Linked DNA regions of Tribolium castaneum. The protein of the gene in region 1 binds, or shares a complex with, the protein of each later gene. Links are inferred from orthologs where the notes say so. Each region holds a gene or a part of one and is shown on either strand. Other genes may lie near its edges.

Evidence for each region.
Region 2: Polr1B (region 1) and Tif-IA share a complex: the UniProt entries of both Homo sapiens proteins name them as parts of the pol I pre-initiation complex. The link is inferred for Tribolium castaneum from reciprocal best matches to the Homo sapiens genes POLR1B and RRN3.
Region 3: the proteins of Polr1B (region 1) and Polr2K are in contact, whole or in part, in a cryo-EM structure (PDB 7OBA), measured with the Homo sapiens proteins. The link is inferred for Tribolium castaneum from reciprocal best matches to the Homo sapiens genes POLR1B and POLR2K. Residues at the interface, in NP_061887.2 of Homo sapiens: Val87, Ile92, Cys93, Lys94, Glu95, Val98, Ala101, Glu102, Gly105, Arg106, His159, His160, Gln704, Asp705, Val793, Phe794, Gln805, Asp808, Asp809, Asp810, Leu812, Pro813, Phe814, Ile815, Gly816, Ala817, Lys818, Leu831, Val848, Asn851; in NP_005025.1 of Homo sapiens: Met15, Tyr17, Gly20, Glu21, Ser30, Arg31, Asp32, Pro33, Ile34, Arg35, Cys39, Gly40, Tyr41, Arg42, Ile43, Met44, Tyr45, Lys46, Lys47, Arg48, Arg51, Val53, Val54, Phe55.

Annotation. Positions count from the first base shown.
Region 1 is NC_087399.1:7,572,282-7,576,041, forward strand, and holds the start of Polr1B (DNA-directed RNA polymerase I subunit RPA2), read right to left. Parts: upstream 2,776-3,760; 5' UTR 2,658-2,775; coding exon 2,586-2,657; intron 2,510-2,585; coding exon 2,180-2,509; intron 2,128-2,179; coding exon 1,888-2,127; intron 1,837-1,887; coding exon 1,664-1,836; intron 1-1,663. UniProt on the Homo sapiens protein: Catalytic core component of RNA polymerase I (Pol I), a DNA-dependent RNA polymerase which synthesizes ribosomal RNA precursors using the four ribonucleoside triphosphates as substrates.
Region 2 is NC_087395.1:22,076,170-22,079,929, forward strand, and holds the start of Tif-IA (RNA polymerase I-specific transcription initiation factor RRN3), read left to right. Parts: upstream 1-1,521; 5' UTR 1,522-1,680; intron 1,681-1,728; 5' UTR 1,729-1,734; coding exon 1,735-2,188; intron 2,189-2,240; coding exon 2,241-2,346; intron 2,347-2,458; coding exon 2,459-3,070; intron 3,071-3,118; coding exon 3,119-3,297; intron 3,298-3,341; coding exon 3,342-3,600; intron 3,601-3,649; coding exon 3,650-3,760. Other genes in the region: tyrosine decarboxylase, read left to right, coding at 1-205. UniProt on the Homo sapiens protein: Required for efficient transcription initiation by RNA polymerase I (Pol I). Required for the formation of the competent pre-initiation complex (PIC).
Region 3 is NC_087394.1:4,871,018-4,873,139, reverse strand, and holds Polr2K (DNA-directed RNA polymerases I, II, and III subunit RPABC4), read left to right. Parts: upstream 1-1,094; 5' UTR 1,095-1,222; coding exon 1,223-1,286; intron 1,287-1,339; coding exon 1,340-1,432; intron 1,433-1,500; coding exon 1,501-1,523; 3' UTR 1,524-1,566; downstream 1,567-2,122. Other genes in the region: Pfk (ATP-dependent 6-phosphofructokinase), read left to right, coding at 121-345, 409-631, 685-814. UniProt on the Homo sapiens protein: DNA-dependent RNA polymerase catalyzes the transcription of DNA into RNA using the four ribonucleoside triphosphates as substrates.

The DNA.
Region 1 (3,760 bases):
AGGCGTTAATAGATAAAAATCTAACAGGTGACAGTGGCAATTTTTTAAGAGTATTCCGTATTACAGGAATCTCTTCTTGTTTTCCTTCTATTGAATTAGAAACTACTCCAATCTCTATTCCAATAGAAATTTTTGATAATGTAGAAATATTTTCCTGTTCATCTAGCATAAAATCCAAAAATATTTTTTCGGAGGTGCTCAGTATAATTTTTTTATTACCAGTTACATTTTTGCGTTTTGTTTTTTATTGTGATGTTTAAATTATTGTTAATTGTTTTAATCAGTATATGTTTATCAATTAATTTTACCAATCTAGCGGGTTGTTAATTATGCATATTCACAATTACTTTCAGATTTTTTTTTATTTATGAAGTCCATTAGGGGGCACTTGCCTTTTATTTAAATAATAGGATATTTTAATAATTTTTTTTCTCAGGCAAAGATTCACCTTTACATGAAAAATCATCAGACGTTCTACAATAGCATAATAGTGAATAAACTGCAGAATATTTTAGTATGTATCTTATGAAATATGCTTGAAGAAAACAATTTTTCAAATTTTTTAAGTGACACACAACCACACACAAATGATAAATAATTCCTTATTACAGACAGAAACAAGTAAAAGAAATAAGTAAAAGCATTTCGTTATTAACATAAATTTAAGGATTTGCTATTTCTATTAATACCACCCACAGTTTTTTGTTTTAGTTCTTTTTTGTATTTCAGCTTTTCAGTCTCTTAGGACCGGTTTATAGAAGCGTCATTAATTTAATTCGCACTTAATGCGTGATTAACTGATCACGTGACCAAACGGAGACAATTTGATTGATCTAATCGCGTTGTTAACTTTTAACAACGAATTAAAATTTGATGCAACTTTCTATAAACCGGCCCTTAGTGAATTGTTTTTTTTTACAATGTAATGTTTTAATTAATTAGTGCTTCCAGTTCTGCAGTCTATTTTTCAGTTTTCAGAATTTCAATCTCCCCATTTTTTATTTTTTTTGTGTTTTAGCCTTTTAGTTTGGTGTTTTAGTTTTCTGGTGGAAATACTGTAGTTGTATATTAAATTATTTTTTGAAGATTTATGCGCACTAGCAAATGCACAACATTATTTTATTCAAGACGCTTTGAAAAATAACTAACTTTATTCTCATTCTGAAATTTTAGTAAATAACAGAAAAAAAATAGAAGCAGTAGTCTCGTCCTTTGCTGAAGCTATTGAACGCGTGAATAAAGTGTTCTTTTTTTTTAAACTACCTACTCCAAAAGTTGTGGAAAAAAAGTTAGTGACAAACTAAGACAAACTGAATACAAAATTCTAGATATAAAAATTTACTAAAAATAAAAATGTTAATTGAATGAAAAAATATTATCAATTTAGTACCAGTATCCATTTCCATACAATAAGTTTATTTGTTAGGTTGAATTTTTACAGAAAAACAAAAGCAAATGGTGCAACAGAGAACTTCAAGTTTTCGTTTTGTTTGTTTTTGTAATGGACCTTATTGCAATATTGCATAAAAATTACGTTTAATTTTTCCTGCTGTACGAATTAATAAAGAATATGTTCTAATTAGCAAATTTCAATACCAATTTTCTAAATTAAGTTTTTTTGTAACTCCTAAAAATCCAGTCTCTAGTAACAATTTATGCTTACTCCAAGTAGTAGGAATCGTGCTGGTACCCTTGTATCAACTTCTGGTAAATAAACTGGTCGCAATAATCGCACAAACATTTCAAAATCAGGACTAACGGCGTGTAGTACAAAACTTTCTTGTAACTGAACATTAATTTGGCGGTTCCATCCGTAACAAAATGTAAAACATTCGTCTAAAAATGTAAAATTATACCAAGTTTTTGGTAATTTTTTTAAAAAATTACAGTGGCCGTTTGGTCCTCCCTGACACACCTCATGGAAATACCACAGTCTGAAAAAATCGAGCCCCGCGCTTTCCAGCCCGAGCGTTTTATAGCAATTGGATAGTTCCGACGTGTCATTAGCAACATCCTTACTAGTCTCTCGTGGCCTTTGACCACAAAATAGCCCCCCCATTCCTGCTCATGCTCCCCGTGTTTGACCAACTCTGCGGGGGACATGGCGCTCAAGTGGCACTTATTCGACTACAATTAACCTCGCCAATTAAAAAAACACACACAAAAAAACAAAAAATACTTTAATCATGATGGGCAACTGGCCCATATCCTTATCAAACGCCGTCTGTCTCTCCCCATTAATCGCCCAATTAACCCTGGCAATAAACCGCCCTTTGTAGGTCGCGGCCCTTTGCCTACACTCCGATGGAAATACTTTAGGGCTTTTGACCCCAACTGTGCCCATCGGCACCAAGGGGCAACTGAGACTAGCATCGGTTATTTCAAGTGTGATTTTATCCCCATTTACCATAAACTCAACCGGATTCAAATCAGAAATCGCCTGGTCTAGCCCCTGATTTATCATGTAATTGAAGCTAGACACGTGTGGGTGCCCCAATTGTTGCAAAAGCTACAAATTTGAATTTTTTCATTTGAAAAAAAAAACATAACCTCAAAAAAACACGTGTTAGTTTTAAGACACTTACCACGTTCTGTGACTCGGGGGGGCGCCCGAAATTGGGATCCGTGATATTGGAAAGGCTCGGCTCGTCCAACATTATTAAAACACTCACTTAAACTTAAAAATAAATAATAAAACGTGAAAATTGAACCCGACAATTGTCACTTCCCGGTGGCGTATGCAACCAGCAATACAACCCACCACGATTATTGCATATGGACAACCACCAATTTTAATAATTTCATTATTAAAAAAACATAATTGCCTTGTTGCCTTTAATAGGTAAAGGGGATAAAATGGTTAATTGAAATCGTATTGTCACGATTGACAATTTTATTGTCAGTCATAGAATAAGAGAGAGGAAGAAGCGAATCTCTCTGTCTACCCCTCGTTTTTTCGCGAAAGCGCCACCTAACCCTGAGAGAACGAACTAATTCGATAATAGCGGGAAATTCAAACAGGACATTTTATTTATTTTCCAAATTAAAAGAATAATAAATGTTAAATGTTTCTGTACTCATGCACTGTTACGAGACATTTTAATAAAAAAGCATCTGTAACAGTTGCAATAGCACAAAAACATTTAACATCGCTTAATAAAATGAAACAGTCTTTCCAATAAAAATTTATTAAAAAAATAATAACGTGCTGGAATGTATAGGCATACTCAGATGTAATAATATATGTAAATACAGTGTCTAAATATACACAATGATCCAGAGAAACTGAGTATGTTGGCATCAGATTAAATTATTGAATTAATACCTGAAAGTATACACTATTGGTATCCTTTAAAATTTAAATTCAGATTGCTAACAGACACAGTATTTCGGGATCAGTCTGTATACATACATCAGTTTTGTTGGTTTGATTACTTGTCTGCAGACTGTTCAGAAAAGCAAAAAAATATCAAAATTTTGCTTGTAACCTTTGACAATAGTCCAATTTTTAAGTCCCTTAAGGCTAAATTTAAACAACTATTTTTCGAAATTTATTCGCGGTTATAAGGTTTACGGACGTTTGTAAAAGCGGCCCTAACACGTACTTTAACAGTTTGATGTCAAAGTTCTTGATAAATTTTGAAATTTTTTAAAAGTAATCTCGACTGCATCATAGTTATTAGTAAATTACTCAAACACAAGGGAATTACAAGTGTGCTAAAATTATTTTAAATAAAAAGCCACATATCTGATATACATA
Region 2 (3,760 bases), on another chromosome or scaffold:
GATGTACCAGAGGACTTTGAGTCGGTCGAATTTGTGCGACGGGGCGACGCCCATTCTTGTGGCGGATTCGGATGAGGAGGACACGCTGGTTGAGGACACGACGATGCTGCCAGATGAGCCCGATGAGGTTTTTATTGACAAACAAGAGTTTGTTAATGGGTTTAGGATAAATGACAAAGAGATTAAGTACAATGGGGTTAGTTAAGAGTGTGATTGGGTGTGTAGATGTGTAGACACAACAGTATTATTTTAAGTAATAATCTTAAGTTATTTGTTCATTCACATATCATTAGACGTAAGGACGGTTGTGTACCAAGTGATCATTTGAATTCATTACAATTAGAGTACCTACTGAAACTGATATTGAAAGAATGGTTAAGACTTGAGTCTACCAACTATTCGGAGGAAACTCTCCTACTCTAATTACAAATGACGACATATAATACTCGCTCATTAGTATTAAGTAGCGTCCTTGTTGTTGTTAAAGAGTTTTTTTACTCATTTATAAAATGTAGACGTAATAAATTATGATATTAATTTGAAACTACCATTCAATTATTTTTCCTTTATAAATTCGTTCTTCAGAGTCTTTTTGACAATATTGGTTACACACAGCGCGTGCTGTTAACATTTAAACAGCACTTTTTTAAACAGGAAAGTACTAACCATCAAGGTTTTTTACATTGTTCCATAACTGCTGGAAAAGAGAAATCAGAGGTGATTATTTCTGTTGTTTTTTTCCCTTTCCCAAAGATCATCTGAGGCAAGTGCCCTCGATCCGGCTCTGCCCCTATATCATGTAAAGAATCTTATTCAAAAAAAAATTAATACCTGCTTAAGTATGCTGAGTTAAAAATAATCGAATTCTTTTAGTTTTCGAGAGTAAGTTTGTTCTTACAAAGTGGATTTGTTTTAATTGTGAATCCTGTGAAGATTTCACTAAAATGTTTGGCTGAAATTATTTGCTTAAGAGATGAACTTCTGTGGTTGTCGGGTTGGACCTTAAAAATGTGCCTCCTTGTGTTTTTCAGATCAAAAAAAACGTTAAATGACAAAAATCAATACATTAGACAAACCTCCTTGTTCCCATCTTGTAACAATAAGTTACCTCACAGATTATATTTTTTGTTGGTGTCGTACTTGTTGCCGTGTCGTTTAATTTTACTCACTTTATGACTTACTGTTTTGTGAAAGAATTTTTGCGGATTAAAAGTTCCAAATTCGTTGACTAGTGCGTGCTGATCGCGGTTAGTGTGTGCTATTGAAAGGGATTTTTAAGGGGAAAAGAGAAAACAACCCGGATTAAAGGGTTAGTTTTCAATAATTTATTTTTAGAAAAGTTTCTACATTAAAATCTATAATATTTTCAACGAATTTACTGGTACAATGTTCCAATTTCACTGTTTTTTATTTCAGTAGGTTCGTGAAATGCTTTTGAATAGGTGATATTAACATCTTGTACTGATTTTACTTTTAATTTATTTTAATAAATTAGCCCGGCTCAAAATTTAAATAGTAGCCTTGCCAACCAAGCAACTTCGAAAAGCCACAACAAATAACCCTAGACGCAGACGTCAAACCACACGTTTTTCTCCTAACCTGTAAAAGATGTGATTTAAATAACATTGTGAAATACTGTTTTTATTGATTGACTGTGACTGAACCGTTGCTTTAATTTATGTAAGTGCCATATTTATCATTTTTTCAGAAAAAACAAACAAATTTCAGATCATTATGTCTTTATTCTCGGCCCCCACGAAGTCAACGACCCCTTCCTCGATCCTGAAGAAAACCCCAAGTCTCAAATCGACATTAAACCGCTCCTTGAAAGTGAACACACCCACTAAAGTCCGATTTATTTTACCACACTCTAAAAAAGTGCGCCACATATTGAAGGACTACATCAAACACGGAAATGCAAAGGATTATGAAAATTTAGTGTGCCTAATTCGCGATGCCGAACTGTTTGATGACGATATTTCCTCACTGTTGAAGGAAGCGACTGAGTGTATTTCAATAATGAAGCAGGAGTTACGTCTTTTTGTAGAAGCACTCCTTTCAGTTGACTGGATCGAAAGAAACGAAAATGTAGTTAAGGAGTATCAGTCATTTATTGCGAACTTAGTCGCTGCACATAACTATCACGCAGATTTTGTGATAAATAAATTAGTCACATTGTTTTTTCCCCGTAAGTTTGGTAAAGTAACTAATCACCAGTTAATTACCAGTGAATTATTTAGCTCTAACAGACCCTGAATGGGAAAATGGAACCCCCAGTAAAACGGATATTCTGAAGTGCCAACACGTCCACTCCCTCCTCTGTGAACTTCTAAGAACAGTCCCTTTGTAAGTAATTTTTCAAGTCTCAGGTACTTTCCGGATGTAATTATCTAGAGTAATAAGCAATTTTCTCTATAAAATAGTTTATAAATTAAATCTGTGCTAATGGGCATTTCAGGTGCAACGAATTGCTAATCCACGCCCTGATCGACCACTTCCCTTACATGAACAAATCGACCCACATCCACGAATACTACATCCAGAACCTCCTCTGGGTCATCTGCTACCAGCCCACTCTCAGACCCAACATCCTCCACTTAATTTTCTCAAAACTGATCATCATGGACGTGAGTGCGCCCCGCGAGGAAATCGCGAAACTTGAAGAGGAGGAAATTTTCATGATGGACGAGAGCAAAACAAACACTACGATAAATCTGGACTGCGTCCATTCAATGGCACACACTTTGGACGTTTGCCTGGATAAAGTGTTCAATTACATTTACTCCGAGTGCCATGAGCCGGGCACTAATGACTTGAATTGGGGCAAAACCAAGTCTTTATACCAGGATATTTTGACGGTCTTTGATCAGTCGATCCTGCCAACTTACAATACTCATCACGTCCAGTTTGTTATGTTTGTGCTGTGTTCCTTTAAAACGACGTTAACGGAGGCGTTTTTTAATTACTTGTGGAAGAAGGTGTGCAATCCGAACGTCGCGTCGGTGATTAGACAAGCGGCGGTTAATTATATTGTCAGTTTTATAGCGAGAGCCACTTTCGTCCCCCTTACGTAAGATTTTTTCAATTTTTTATGCCCCAGTTTAATGGAAAATTGCAGCATGTTGAAGGGGACTTTGCAACAAATGGCCGAATGGATCCACTCGTATATCGCCACTCAGGACGGCCTAGAGTGCGTCAATTCGGACCTAAGGCTCCACTCTGTCTTCTACACAGTGTGTCAAGCCCTCTTTTATGTGATTTCGTTCCGGCACAAGGATTTAGTCAACACAAAAAAAAGTAATGATTTTTTTACTCGAACATTGTCACAACTTTGATTACAGATGTCGTATTTTTGGAGAGTCTGAACTTGGCGAAAATCGTAACCAGTCGGTTAAACCCGTTGCGGGTTTGCCAACCTGCAGTCGTGCAAAATTTCGCTGCTATTACCCGAAAGTACCAACTAGCCTATTGTTACTCAATCATTGAACACAATTCGAGGAACACTTTACCGACTGTTTATAGAGACGAGAAAGGTTTTGTGACAGTTTCAAGTAACGTCCTAGAGGCGTGTTACCCGTTTGATCCTTTTGTTTTATCAAGGTTCGTTGCACCGTTTTTTGGGGGATTCCCCTGACTGTTTTAATTGCAGGTCGAGTGCGAAAGTGCACCCGTTTTATCGGGACTACAAGGAGGTGAGTTTTGAGGTAAACGATTCAGAAATGAGGGAAATTGGGGACGTTGACGATTTCCTCGAGAATGA
Region 3 (2,122 bases), on another chromosome or scaffold:
ATGGGGTAATTAAATATCTATTAATGATATAAAAAAGGTAAATATTAATGTTTAAGTTTGACAGTCAATGTTGCCAACACATTCATTATTCAGCATCGCCAACTTATTTTCACATGTTAGGTCTCGCTGGGGGTGCGGATGCTGCGTACATTTACGAGGAAAAATTCACAATTAAAGACTTGCAACAAGATGTCTACCACATGGCTACGAAAATGTCCGAAGGTGTACAACGTGGTTTAATTTTACGTAACGAAAAAGCGTCAGATAACTACAATACCGACTTTATCTACAGATTGTATTGTGAGGAAGGAAAAGGCTTGTTTAGTGCCAGGATGAACGTTTTAGGTATTTATATAGACGTTTGTTTGTTTAAAAATTTAATACTTTTTTTGTGTGTGTATTGTTAAGGTCATATGCAACAAGGGGGTTCCCCCACACCTTTTGACCGCAATGTTGGTACCAAAATGGCGTCCAAAGCGGTCGAATGGATGATCAACCAATTAAAAAGCAATATGAGTTCAGACGGCTCAGTCAGTTGTTCTAGTCAAGACAGCGTCGTTCTGTTAGGAATCGTTAAAAGACAATACAAGTTTACACCAGTCGCTGAGTTGAAAGAACAAACCAACTTTGAGTACGTTTATAAATTATTAAACTGTTTTTTATAATTACTTTAAATTGTTTTAGCTTGCGTATGCCTAAAGAGCAATGGTGGTTGAAACTGCGCCCTCTATTGCGTATTTTGGCAAAACATGATTCGACATATGAGGAAGAAGGGATGTATATGACGATTGAGGATCGCAGTTTTATTAATTAAAGGCAACCGTAGCCATTTATAGTGAATTTGTATTTTTTAGCTTGTTTTATTTATTTTATTGTGTAGTTTATTTTATTAAATGAGATATTGTAAACAAATTTTGGCCATATTGTGATGACAATATCGATATTTGAAGACGGGTCAAGTGTTACAAAGTACGATTCGAGCTGGGTATGTGGAATGGACGTATTATATTTCAATAAAATTTTAATAAACTATCAAAAATTCCTGCACCTTTTTGAATTTCGCGCTTGTATACGTTGGCGTTGCCAACCGTTGGAATAACAAAAAAAAGATGAAATTCCCTAAGTCGGCATGGTGGCGTTGTTTTTATACAAAATTTATTAGAGGAGAAAACTACGTTCCCGCTCGTTTGTATTAAAAATTGTGCTAATTTAAGTGATTAGGATGTCGGAACCTTCGACCAAAGACTCAGGGGCCACGAAAACTCCCATGGTTTACATTTGCGGAGGTACGTGAAAGTGAGGTTATGTTTTGATTTGAAAATTTTCGAAAATTATTTAGAATGCCACAATGAGAACGAAATAAGGCCGCGGGATCCAATCAGGTGCCGGGAATGTGGGTACCGTATTATGTACAAGAAGAGAACCAAACGATGTATCCTTTTATTATCAATTACTAACACTTGCAAATTTTCAGTTAATTTTTCCTTAACTTTGATCCAGTGGCCGTGTTTGACGCCCGGTGAAAAAATTGTAATTAATTAAGGTTGGAATAGAGTGTTTTTTACATTGGGGTTATTATTTGCAAACCTGTCTTTCCCCTTTCCTACGTCCGACAATTCAAGCACCTTGGGCACCACCTGGGGCAATGCATCGATTTCCCAGGGCCCAGTTGTAGCGAAAATTTCAAGGTCTCGCGCAAGGGCAGTGCAGGACCACTTTCTGCAACGCAACCTCCTCTTTAACCAAATTCAAGGTCGTCCATGTGCGATCAATAAAACTAAATACACGCAGGTTCTACGCCGGTGTCTGAGCGCGCCGGTCGCGACGTGTGGCTTCGCCGTTGAAAACGCCGAGAGTAAAAAATTCGCCGATTTTTGGACTGACAATTGTCGGAGGAGTGAAGGTGGTGCAGGACGTGGGGGCCAATGATGGCCGTCTAGGGCTGCGATAACTGCGTTGTGTTATTGCACCACGTGCTGAAAGGGCGCCGGCGAGGTTTACCGTTGCGTGCCGGTTTCCCGCCAGCGCACTGAGGTAATTTTGATTTTTGAAGTGTTTTTTTGATTTTCCCCAAAATGTTTTTTTGAGCCTAAGAGACCACAACCATGGTGTGATTTTATTA